Callithrix jacchus: one gene and its partners. The protein of the gene in region 2 purifies or fractionates together with the protein of the main gene of each other region. This does not show direct contact. Links are inferred from orthologs where the notes say so. Each region holds a gene or a part of one and is shown on either strand. Other genes may lie near its edges.

Evidence for each region.
Region 1: the proteins of ELAVL1 (region 2) and BTRC purify together in Homo sapiens (affinity purification with western blotting; 4 studies listed by BioGRID, with this or other methods). This does not show direct contact. The link is inferred for Callithrix jacchus from reciprocal best matches to the Homo sapiens genes ELAVL1 and BTRC.
Region 3: the proteins of ELAVL1 (region 2) and IGF2BP1 purify together in Homo sapiens (co-immunoprecipitation; 3 studies listed by BioGRID and IntAct, with this or other methods). This does not show direct contact. The link is inferred for Callithrix jacchus from reciprocal best matches to the Homo sapiens genes ELAVL1 and IGF2BP1.

The regions. Positions count from the first base shown.
Region 1 is NC_133513.1:94,486,765-94,490,410, forward strand, and holds part of BTRC (F-box/WD repeat-containing protein 1A), read left to right. Parts: intron 1-1,165; coding exon 1,166-1,415; intron 1,416-1,894; coding exon 1,895-2,013; intron 2,014-3,383; coding exon 3,384-3,494; intron 3,495-3,646. UniProt on the Homo sapiens protein: Substrate recognition component of a SCF (SKP1-CUL1-F-box protein) E3 ubiquitin-protein ligase complex which mediates the ubiquitination and subsequent proteasomal degradation of target proteins. Recognizes and binds to phosphorylated target proteins.
Region 2 is NC_133523.1:7,497,445-7,501,090, forward strand, and holds the end of ELAVL1 (ELAV-like protein 1), read right to left. Parts: intron 1,703-3,646; coding exon 1,378-1,702; 3' UTR 166-1,377; downstream 1-165. UniProt on the Homo sapiens protein: RNA-binding protein that binds to the 3'-UTR region of mRNAs and increases their stability.
Region 3 is NC_133506.1:117,295,701-117,300,036, forward strand, and holds the start of IGF2BP1 (insulin-like growth factor 2 mRNA-binding protein 1), read right to left. Parts: upstream 2,897-4,336; 5' UTR 2,341-2,896; coding exon 2,166-2,340; intron 985-2,165; coding exon 924-984; intron 1-923. UniProt on the Homo sapiens protein: RNA-binding factor that recruits target transcripts to cytoplasmic protein-RNA complexes (mRNPs). This transcript 'caging' into mRNPs allows mRNA transport and transient storage.

The DNA of each region.
Region 1 (3,646 bases), on a different chromosome or scaffold from region 2:
ACACAGCCATTATACTGCTGGAGTCCAGGATAGCTTGAGTTCTGGGTACCAGCAGCACTGCTGGGAACTTCTGTTAGGAATTTTGCCTTAAGCTGAAGTATTTAGCAAACATAATGCATCAAAAGTAACTTTAAAAAAAAATAAACCTAGGAAAAAAAGCAGTTAACTGCATTGTTCGATACTCTGAAGTTAAATGTTTACCATTCCAAGTTATCCTCTGTGAATAGAAAAGACTGTTTGTGGTTTTTGTCTTTTGACTTAAAGGCATAGCAAACTCGGTCCGTGTAATTATTGACATTTAACATTTATTGGTGCTTGTGGAGCAAGTGCCTCACTGAATCTGAAATACTGTAGATGCTAACATCATTTATAAGATAAAGAAAAAATGATATTCCATAAAAGGGGGCTAAACTGGAAAAAGGAAATAACATGTTATAAAACCCAAAGTAAATACACAAAAATAGAATAATCAAATATGTCATCACACAAAATTCCCAAGCTATCCAGTGGCCCCACACTCTTCTGTGAAGCCTGTATTTACAATGAGAGGGCTATTTTAAACCTGTACCCACTTCAAAGCACAGAAATGGGGGGCTTATAATTAAGAGTTGTGGTTATCTTGGCCTTTGACCTCTATGATAAGACCTGAGATCCAGGGAAATCAAACTCAAATTTGCATTGCTAAGTATGTGACAGAAGCATCTTGACCTATGTCATTTCTGGCTCCTGAGGGTTTTATTGGGATGGGCACTAATGCTACTGTTATTAATCAGATTCCCCATTTAAAATGTATCTTATTAATGGTATCAAATTGAATGTCAGAAGTTTTATAATAATCTTCAAGTCTGGGCCAAATTATTAGGTGACAGTGGCTGCCACCTCATCCTTGCCCTCCACAACTTGCCCATATTTCAAGCAGTGTGTCTAAAGGACACACTGGCAACATCCCATCCCCTTCCTTCTCCCACTCTCCCAGTCTGGGCTTCTCTCTACCACTTTCCCACAATCCATCAGTATTTACCGCAGCTTAGTGCTGCAAAGGAATTAAAGAGTAGAATTATAACACTTACCATGAAAATATGAGGAGTGGCAGGGCATATGATGGTCAAATATAGATAACAGATTGTAGCTTGAGTACCTTCTAAGTCTCATGTGTCACTTCCAGAGTGTGGGATGTAAATACAGGTGAAATGCTAAACACATTGATTCACCATTGTGAAGCAGTTCTGCACTTGCGTTTCAATAATGGCATGATGGTGACGTGCTCCAAAGATCGTTCCATTGCTGTATGGGATATGGCCTCCCCAACTGACATTACCCTCCGGAGGGTGCTGGTTGGACACCGAGCTGCTGTCAATGTTGTAGACTTTGATGACAAGTACATCGTTTCTGCATCTGGGGATAGAACTATAAAGGTAATCAGGTATCTTTCAGTAAGTCTCCAACTTAGAATAGGGGAATTCATATGAAAATGTGATCAAGGGCAATGTCATATTTAAACATCACTGAAGAAATATGTAGTATTTATTTCAGAGACTAGTCTACAAGTGAAAAGGTAATAAATGAGATGTGTGACAATATGAGCTAGGTATTTTATTCTTATAAATAATGGTGAGTGTGAGAAGGGCAGGGGCAAATGTAGGGTCAAGAAAAATGTATCTGCAAGATCAGACTAACCCTAGAAGAGAAAATCAGTTTGAGGAATTTTCTTGATAACAGCCAACAGCAAATTAGCCTCTATTACCATGAATTTAAATTGTCTTTTGCTCTGTTTGAGAATTTGACTTCCCTTTAATGGTTCAGTCTCATTTCCTGCTTCCCTAAGACTCCAGTTGCCATAGATTTTACCAGTAAAAGCACCAAATCAATTGCTCAATGCCGTTTTCTTTTTCAGGTATGGAACACAAGTACTTGTGAATTTGTGAGGACCTTAAATGGACACAAACGAGGCATTGCCTGTTTGCAATACAGGGACAGGCTGGTAGTGAGTGGCTCATCTGACAATACTATTAGGTGAGCAGCAAGTGCCTTTTATCGTAAATGATCAATATTATGCTCCCATTCATTATTAGTGCACAGATCAATCAAGTCTTCAGTTTTGTTATGTTTATAATCAACTGTTTTTCCTTTTTGTAGCTTCTTACAGGTCAGAAGCAGAGAGGCAGCAACAAAGCCTTTTGTTGCCCATCTTTTTTTTTTTTTTTTGAAATTGGAGTCTTGCACTGTTGCTCAGGCTGGAGTACAGTGGTGTGACTTGGTGCAATGTGTACTTGGCACATTGCAACCTTGGCCTCCCAGGTTCAAGTGATTTTACTGTTTCAGCCTCCTGAGTAGCTGGGATTACAGGCATGTGCCACCACGCCCGGCTAATTTTTGTATTTTTAGTAGAGATGGGATTTCACCATGTTGGTTAGGCTGGTCTCGAACTCCTGACCTCGTGATCTACTGGCCTCAGCCTCCTGAAGTGCTGGTGTGAACCATCATGCCCTGTCGTTGCCCTTCTTTTTAAATTTCTCCTGTCTACAGTTGCAAAATGCTATTAAGTTTTCTCTTTGTCATTGTTTGCCACTTAAGAAGTGAAAAGAAAGATATGTTTTCTTACTAGAAATTATGTAATTTTGGTCTTAGCATTACATAATTGGCCATAGAGTTACCTGTCCTTGAAATTATGAAGATTTCACAGTTGGAAGTCATTTTTTAATTTTCTCTTCACAAAGATGAATGACGTGGATATTAATAGAATTTGAAAGATCTATCCATCCTCTCTCTTCAGTGAAGTACTAAAAGGATGAAAAGGCCACTAAAAAAAAAAAACAGATAGAGCTACTGTTATATCTAAGGAAATTATTCCTAGAAATCACTTTAAAAAGTTCTGAAAAATAATTTCAGAATATACAGTTTTTAAAATTAGTACACAAAAGTTTTTGAGAACTGGCTTTGCATTTCCATTCTCTGAGAAAAACTGTCCTGGACAGTGGTGAAAGAAGTGTCCACTGTGGCAGAGGGAGAGGTGCTTTGTGAGAACAGGACATCACTGATAATCTGTATGGTGACTTCAGGAAACTACTTTCTTAGTTTGGTCATTTTCTTCTCAGGCAACTGTGTGCCTTGAATTCATCATTTTTATGCCTGGAAGAACCTGGTTACAGAATTATATAAAGCATTATACTTTGAAAATACATACTACATTTGAACTTAAACCTACATTTTTCTGCATGAGTTATATAGCAGAAAGGAAATAAATTACATTGAAAATGGTACTTTCTATGTGGGTGGTGATTGATTTTATTTTGTGAGTTTTTAGAAGGCATATGAAGTGTATTATTATAACACTCCAGACTTAGAATATGTGAAAAATCACTTGACTCACTTTTCTCTTCCAGATTATGGGACATAGAATGTGGTGCATGTTTACGAGTGTTAGAAGGCCATGAGGAATTAGTGCGTTGTATTCGATTTGATAACAAGAGGATAGTCAGTGGGGCCTATGATGGGTGAGTATAAAAAACAGTGTTAAAAAAAAAAGAAAATCTACCTCTTAATCCTTCCTTATGTTTATGGTGTTAAACATAACCATTCCTTGTTTCTAAAAGCTTATAGATTTTACACAAAGTATCTAATAGCATATTTTTTTAATCTGTATATT
Region 2 (3,646 bases):
CCACTAGTCTGTGACTGCACATTCCTGCGTCACAAATTCAGAAATGCTTTTGCTTGAGGCAAGTATCGGTTTCTTAAGATCTTATGACTCCTCCCTGAATGTTGGGCCGTCTGCACCTTCCCTAACCAAAAAGAAAGAAAAGGTAAAATAAAAAACAAAACAAAATTCGAGCAAAACAAAATCAAATTTAATGGTCTTAAATGCAAAAGTAAAAACAAACAAAAAACACAAAAAAGCAAAAGAAAATTAACAGAACAGAACAACCCAAAATGTCAAGGCAGTTATGAAGAGAACTTTGAGGGTTAATCTTTAAAACTACAAATCAAAGGTTTTGGTTAATAGATAACTGGCAAGAAGTAAGTACTTTTCTGCTGAGTGTTCATACAAAAGCAAAATTTCAAAACAAAATCCGACTAAAATAGAAAAAGGTCTAAGCGCTCACGAGAAGGGATGCGAGAAATACAATGCTCAAATGTTTCTGTGTTATTAAAATACAGAGCCATCTTACGCCTCCAAGCTATGTTAAATGCTCTTAGAAATGGGAGAAATGGTCGTGAACAAGAGTATCCAATGTGGGGGGCGCCATGCATGCAATGTGTGGACAGAAACTCGGGGCGTCAGAGTAGCAACACATCTTCAGGCGTGCCTGGAGCTTAGATCTGACTCTGGAATATACTGGAGTTTCCCTGAAACTCTTTGGTCCGTTCCCATTGGTGCCTGGGCTTACAAAACACGTTTGTGTCCTTCTCTGGAGGGCCTGGCCCGGCATGTGGCCCCAGCCCCAGTGGTGGCCCACACTGGACGGGCCCGCTGCCATTCCCAGGACCACTCGGCAGAGCCCGGGACAGAGTGAGCAGGAGGTGGCAACGGGACCTGCTTGGAGAAGCAACTTCCTGTCAACCAAAGCATACACATTGCTTAAAATGGTGAAGCGGTTGAGAAAACGCACACTCAGCATCTGTCTAACATCTTTAGATTCAAAACTAAAACTAAAAGGTGATTTTTTTTTTTTTTGCTACCCGGTCTGTGGAGACACTGAATGAAACGCGTGTTAGACAGTCTTAGAGGTTAAAGCATGCTTCAGGTTCACCACCATCCAGAGGGACTGGTTAGTCAATGCAGTTCTACTTAGATTTCTGTTTAATAGATACCTTAAAGGAAATAACTTACGAAACTTAAGATTGGTCTAACATTGTGGGATTTCAAACATTTGAACATGTCGGTTGCATCCCAGAGTATAAAAACCTTCTCACTTCTCATTCAGACAAAGACAAACACTTGTGAAAACTGGCGCAAAATGAGTTGTACACTAACAAGAAAAGTTTCAACGCCTTCACTCTTAATTATCTATTCCGTACAAAAAAAAGCATGAGCGAGTTATTTGTGGGACTTGTTGGTTTTGAAGGAAACCTGTAAGATCTTGTCCCCCAGGCGGTAGCCATTCAGGCTGGCTATGGCCATCGCGGCTTCTTCATAGTTTGTCATGGTCACAAAGCCAAACCCTTTGCACTTGTTGGTGTTGAAGTCGCGGATCACTTTCACATTGGTGACGGCGCCAAAGGGCCCAAACATCTGCCAGAGGATCCCCTCGTCGGCGTCCTGCCCCAGGTTGTAGATGAAAATGCACCAGCCTGAAGAGGCGTTTCCGGGCACGTTGACGCCAGAGAGCCCGCTCATGTGATCGACACCCATGGGGGAGAACCTGGCGAACAGAGAGCACAGTGTCAGGCCAAGGTTGGTGCAGGTGTCCTGGGGATGGGGCTTGGCCTGGATGCAGGCTGACCATGGCCGCTGGGCCCCTTCCCGCTCTGCGCGGCCACGAGGTGCTCACGGTCGAGACACTGCATGGGTCAAAACCATGACGTTTTTAAACTGGGAAGAATTAAATATGGTAGTGGAGGGTGGGACCCTGTTCTGTGAGGAGCTGACTTGAGAGGCTGGCTGGTGTCCTCCACTCTTCCCACTGTGTATGTGGGGGGGGTCTGTTTAGTGGCTTCTGCAGCTGCCCACAGTTTAGATGATGGGCACTTCTCCTGGTTCTTTTTTTTTGAGATGGAGTTTCACTCTGTCATCAGGCTGGAGTGTAGTGGTTCGATCTTGGCTCACTGCAACCCTCACCTCCCAGGTTTTAAGCGATTCTGCCTTAGCCTCCCAAATAGCCGGGATCACAGGCATGTGGCACCATGCTGGGCTAATTTTTTGTATTTTAGGAGAGATGGGATTTCACCATGGTGGCCAGGCTGGTCTTCATCTCTTGACCTCGCGATCTGCCCACCTCGGCCTCCCTAAGTGCTGGGATTATAGGTGTGAGCCACCAGGCCTGGCCTCCTGGTCCTTCTTTGAGGGTAAAAATACTCTAACAGCCTCAGCTGTCCCTGGAGGAAACTCTTCGCGTACTGTGAGGGTGCGTGCAGGGACTGGAGAACTCCTTTTTCCAAATTTTGCACCTTCCCCTCATCATGACCCACCCCCAAGGGTTCACAGTCCAGTGGTCTCTGGTTAGAGTACATCTATGCCACAACCACTGCAGGCATAAGAATTCATTCCCAAGCACCAGGCAACCAACCTTCTGTAGCTGGGGCCCAACATCCCATGAGGGCCAGGGGCCAAACCACTGAGGGCTGAGAACTCAAGGGACAAGGATGGGCTCTGGGACGCCAGCAGCTGCAGGCTCACCAAACTTGACCACACACATGGGGCTCTTTCCACAGCAATACTTTTATTCACATAAAAAACACCAGGCATGGTGGCTCAAGCCTAGAATCCCAAAACTTTGGGAGGCCAAGGCAGGAGGATCACTTGAGAGCAGGAGTTTGAGACCAGCCTGGGCAACACAGAGAGACCTCATCTCTAGGAAAACAACAACAAAACCTCAGAAAACTGAAACTCAACTAAAATAAAGCCTTCTGAAAATGTATAGATGATGCGATAAGGATTAAGGTAGATGACAACAGTTCCTAAAGCCATGCTGCCCTCTACAACTTTCTCAAATTACAAAACTAAAGGTCTGAGGGTCAGCTTGGGAATATCTGAGTACCAGCATCTGTGAAGCCACACGATGCATGCAGAGAAGCATTGCCTGTTCCAAAATAAAACTGGGCTTCAGGCTGTGGCCCTGTCAGCCAAGTGCAGCCCCTTCAGGCCCCATCTGGGGTCAGCGAATGCCTTCAAGTGTCATTAAACAGATTCACCTTCTCGACAAACATGAGAAGACACCAGCCCCCAAGGGACAGCTCACTAGCCCAAGGATGATTTTCTTTCTTTTTTTTTTGAGACAGGGCCTCACTATGTTGTCCAGTCTGATCTCAAACTCTGAGGCTCAAGTCATCCTCCTGCCTCCTGAGTAGCTGGGACCACAGGTACGTGCCACCATGCTGGGCTAATTTTTATATTTCTTTGTAGAGTCAAGGTCTCACTATGTCGTCCAGGCTGGTCTCAAATTCCTCGGCTCAAGTGACCCTCCTACCTAGGCCTCCCAAAGTGTTGGGGTTACAGGCTGAGTCAACACACCCAGCATTCTCAGAAATTACTCTTGTTGGTAGTTTCTCTCCTGCTGATTTCTTCGGTCTTGACAGTCATAAATCTTTACCCCTCTTTTCCTCCAACCCCAATTCTTTTCCATCCCTTACCTCTGGGCTTTTCCAGA
Region 3 (4,336 bases), on a different chromosome or scaffold from region 2:
CAATGGAAGATTTGAAATCCACCATGAATTCTCAGTAAACATGATGGAGGTACCCCATTTTGCTGGAGAGAGAGGATAGAGGATATAGGGTATTGGAACACACACACACACACACACCCCATTAACACACACACACCCCATTCATCCACGGAGTTCACACACACACACACCATTCATCCACGGAGTTCTAGACCCTCCAAAGAGCCCCAGCTCACAGCCTCAACACAAAGCTCTCACCCCAGATGGTCCCCTTGTAACAATGGGCTGAAGGAGTGGGGGTAGGGGGGCTCGAAAAGGATAGTACAGCCAAGGCATATTCTTTGGAAAATCCAGTCAAGGAGGAGGATGATGTGAGATGTGAGGGATTGGGGATGGGGGGGCGGTCCATGGGAAATAAAAGTCTTTGCCTGTTACAGAAATATAAATAAACTACAAGCAAAAGGGGATTTTTGGGGGGCCAGGAAACTCATTCCACTCCGATTAGGGAGTAGAAGGGCAATCTACTTAAGAATTATGGTGTGGAAAGAGTGAGAAAAACAGAAAATGAGGCCTGCTACGAAGTTGCAGAAATCGCCATGAGTCTGAACTCTTCAAAGATTTCAAGGTTCCCCACAAAAAAACGGCCCCACAGCTTAAACTCCACAAGGTTTCTCCCCTATTTATTTTCTTTCCCCTTTAATTCTACAACTAACATCTTTTAGGCCACCCCAGCCCCAACTTTTTTTTTTTTTTTTTTTTTTTACAAGCTGTAAACCACCCATTACAAGATCTTGGCCAATCTTCCCTCCCTGCCCCCAACATCCGGAGTTGGGGGTGGGAAGACCAGTAATGGGTTTCTTCCACTGGAGACGCTATGGACCCCTCAACACAGCCTCTCAGTACACCCCCGCGCCCCCCAACCCGAGAAAAGAGCTCTTTCCTACCTTTGTTTTTTGGGCACCGAATGTTCAATCTCTAGGCGTTTTCCTTGTAATTCTACTTTCCCTAAAAATAAAAAAATAAAAAATTACTATAAGTGTGAACAGGGGTTAGGGGTGAGAAGAGGAAGGGGAAAGACACCAGGGTAATTCAGGAGTTACTGGGATTTCGAGATCTTCCTAGGAATCCAAGCAGTGGCTTCCATAGCAGGATGGGAAAAAGGCTGCTCTACGAATGGTGGAATCTATAAATTCGTTATTATTCATTTTGAAATTTTTGTTTTGTGTAATCACTGAGGCTTGTGGAGTGGGTCGCTCTGGAAGCCCGATTTGGTAAAGGTGCGAGTCTATTTGGGTGGCTGCGCTGCCTATAGAGTTCCCAGATGTGGGGAGAAGGAGCCTGGAGAGAAAGGGCTCCCCATTCCTCAGAAAGTGGGGCGGGGGGCGGAGGCGTTGTGTAGAACTAAACTTTATTTTTCTCTGTTGCCAGGAAGAAAGGCTTCGGGCCGCGGAGAGGTCACCTGTCGGGGCTGGTTTGGGAAGGGGTGGACCTGGGGGAGCAGAGCCTGGCCGGGCGGGGAGGGTCCCTCGCGGCCGCGGCGCGCGCCTCTCGGCCCAGCCTCGGCGTCTCGGGAAGCAGCATGGCGACCCGGCGCCGCCGCCGCCGCCGCGCCACCCCGCTCACGCCCCACTTTCAAATCAAAATGGCTCAAGCCCCAGGCCCTGGGCGAGAGGCGGGACCCCCTTCCTTGCAAGTCCTACTGGAGGGCTGCATTCCCCACGCGAAGCGGCTAGATCGCCCGCGGTGCGGGGACCCCTTCTACGCCTGGAAAGGCCTAAGACTGAGGAAGGGGAGCCAGGGTTTTCCAGCTGGGGGGCCGTCCACTGGCGGATAGGGAGGGGCTGGACGTGGAAATAACGCCAAGCCGAGGTCATCTTCATGTCCCTAAACTCACCCCCCACTACTGCCATTGGGGGCTCCCGCCCCGTCGGTAGGGAGAAGGGATGGGGGAAGCCAGAGCTTCTTATCTTAGACTGGGAGGAAATCCCGAATGTTTCTGCGCGGGGGTTGGGGGGGATACAGAGCGAGGGAGGGGGCATCGAAGGGGGTAGGTCGAGGGTGGGTACGGAGGCCAAGCCCCGCAGGCCCGGGAAAAGAGGAGTTGGCGGGAGAGGAACCGGAAGGTGCGGGTCTCCGTTGTTCGGGGCTCCCGTTGTGGCTTTTCCGGGAGATGGCTGTGCTCTTACCGGAGAAAGTTTCGATGGCCTTCATCGCCCAGTGCTCGTCCGGGCAGTCCACGAAGGCGTAGCCGGATTTGACCAAGAACTGGCCGCTGTAGGAGATCTTGTGCTCCGCAAATACTTTCTCCAAGTCTGCGGGGGTCACGCTCTCGTTGAGGTTGCCAATGTAAAGCTTGTTCATGGTGGCGGTCTCGGGGCAGGACACAGTCCTGGGCAAGGCCGAACGAGCGGGCGCGGGCGGCGAGCCTCCTAGGCCAAGAAGCGGAGAGGCCGGCGGCAGGAGCCGCAAACTTTCTTTGCACCCCACCCCAGAAGTTGTCCGGAGCCCAGGGCGGGGAAGGCGGCCTGAGGGCGCGCAGAGGTCGCGAGAGAGTTCGGGGAGTCCAGGAGAAGTGCCAGCGGCGCGCAGGGAGACGGACGACGCGGCGCGGCTCCTTCCCTTCGGTCCGAAACCCCTCCGAGAGGGCTGGTGTGTCACGTTTCTCCGCGGCCGCCCCGGCGCCGCCTCTAAATAAAATCGACTTGAAAAAAAAATGGAGCGGAAAAAAAAAAAAAAAAAAGGAGAAGCCACGTGGTGACAGCCCCCACCCACCCTGTAGGGGAAGACCCCCGACGCCACAGGGCCCCTGGGCCCTCCGGCCAAACCCAATAATCTCGCGCCTGAGGGTGGGTAACTCAACTCACCCCCGGGGTAAACTAGGACGGTGGGGCAGCGTCCCCGAAGCTCTACTCGCCCCTTCCCCCTTTGCAAGAACCTGGCCTCTAGGGAAGCGCCCCGCCCCCACCCATCCCCCTACCCCTGCCCGAACTGGGGGAGGATGGTCCAGCCCAGATTTCCTAAGTCTTAAAGGGTAAAATGTACGATTATTTTTTATTCGTTTTGCCGGGCGGAGTTGCTCACCCCACCCCGGTTAACTGCTAGCGACTGACAAGCAAGGGACGGCCGAGATAGACAAAGAGAAGCCGAAGACTCTGGGGTCTTCAGGAGAGGGTCGCACGAGCTGGTGATTTAAAAAGAAAGGCACCTTTTCCCTAGATGTTTAGATGGGGGGGGGTCTCCAATTTCCCACCCCAGCCCCTTGGAACTCCCCCGCCTCCGGGGATGCAGGACCGGGGGACCCTGCAAGCGCGAGACCGAGTAGCTGGGAACACGGGGGATCCTAGTTGAGAACGAGGAAGCCGCAGGAAATCATGTTTCGAGATCCCCACGGGAGAAAGGGTAGTTCGCACCCGGGGTCCGGCTGTTAAATGATAACGTTTCGGGGTCCTAGGGGGAACGCGCGGAACTGGCCGGAGATGACCCAAGGAGAGGGGGACGGTGGGAGAGAAGGAAGAGGGGTGGTAGCTGGAGCTAACCCGAGCGAACCGAAGGGGGAGGTCTTAGGGAGGGAGTGACCGGGTGGAGATTTGAATGGTCCCCTTTTCCCTCCCTGAGTCGGGGCAGACAGGTGGAGCTTCCAGCGTCCGCACCACCCGGACACCTCCGGCAGCTCTCTAAGGCCCTAGGTTCGGGTCGCCTAACTTTGTTTGGGGTGCAGGACTCCGTTCCCGGCGGGAAGGCGGGAGAGGGACGGAGGGCGGGGGGCTAAGCGCTAAGCCCCGCCCACGTCCCCAGGTCAGACCCGCGGGGGGAGGGGGTAATTTCCGCTCCGTTCTCGGGGAAGAGAGGGGCGGGAGCTTAGGGGAGGGGGCGGCAGCCCCTCCCCCCTCCCTCCGTTCCTGGGGAGGGGGAAGCGGATCCGCCCGGGTCCCTTCCCTCGGCTTTGACCAACTCATTCCGGATCCTCTGACTCCAGGAGCCCGAGGGAAGGACCGGACTGGGCTAGGGGCGACACGTGGGCGGTCGCACCCCATCTGGGCGGTGGGGGAGGGGGCGGCTAGCCGCGCGTTTCGGAGTCCCGGATACGCGGCTGAGAGCGGGACGCGCGGTCCACGCGCAAGCCCTGGCTCCACGGCTGAGCGCCGAGCGAGGCCAACGAGTTTCTAGCGGCGGGGGCTGGGATGGCGCCAGGGGTGGCGGAGAGCGCGGCCGGGAGACTATGGAACCCCCTCGCCTAGGGAACGGGGAAAAGCGAGGGTCGACCCCCAGAAATTCTGGAGTCCCCGTGATCAGGGCGGAAACTGGGTTATTACTCTGGACTCTGCAGGAGGGAGGATAATTCTGTCGGGGGTACGCG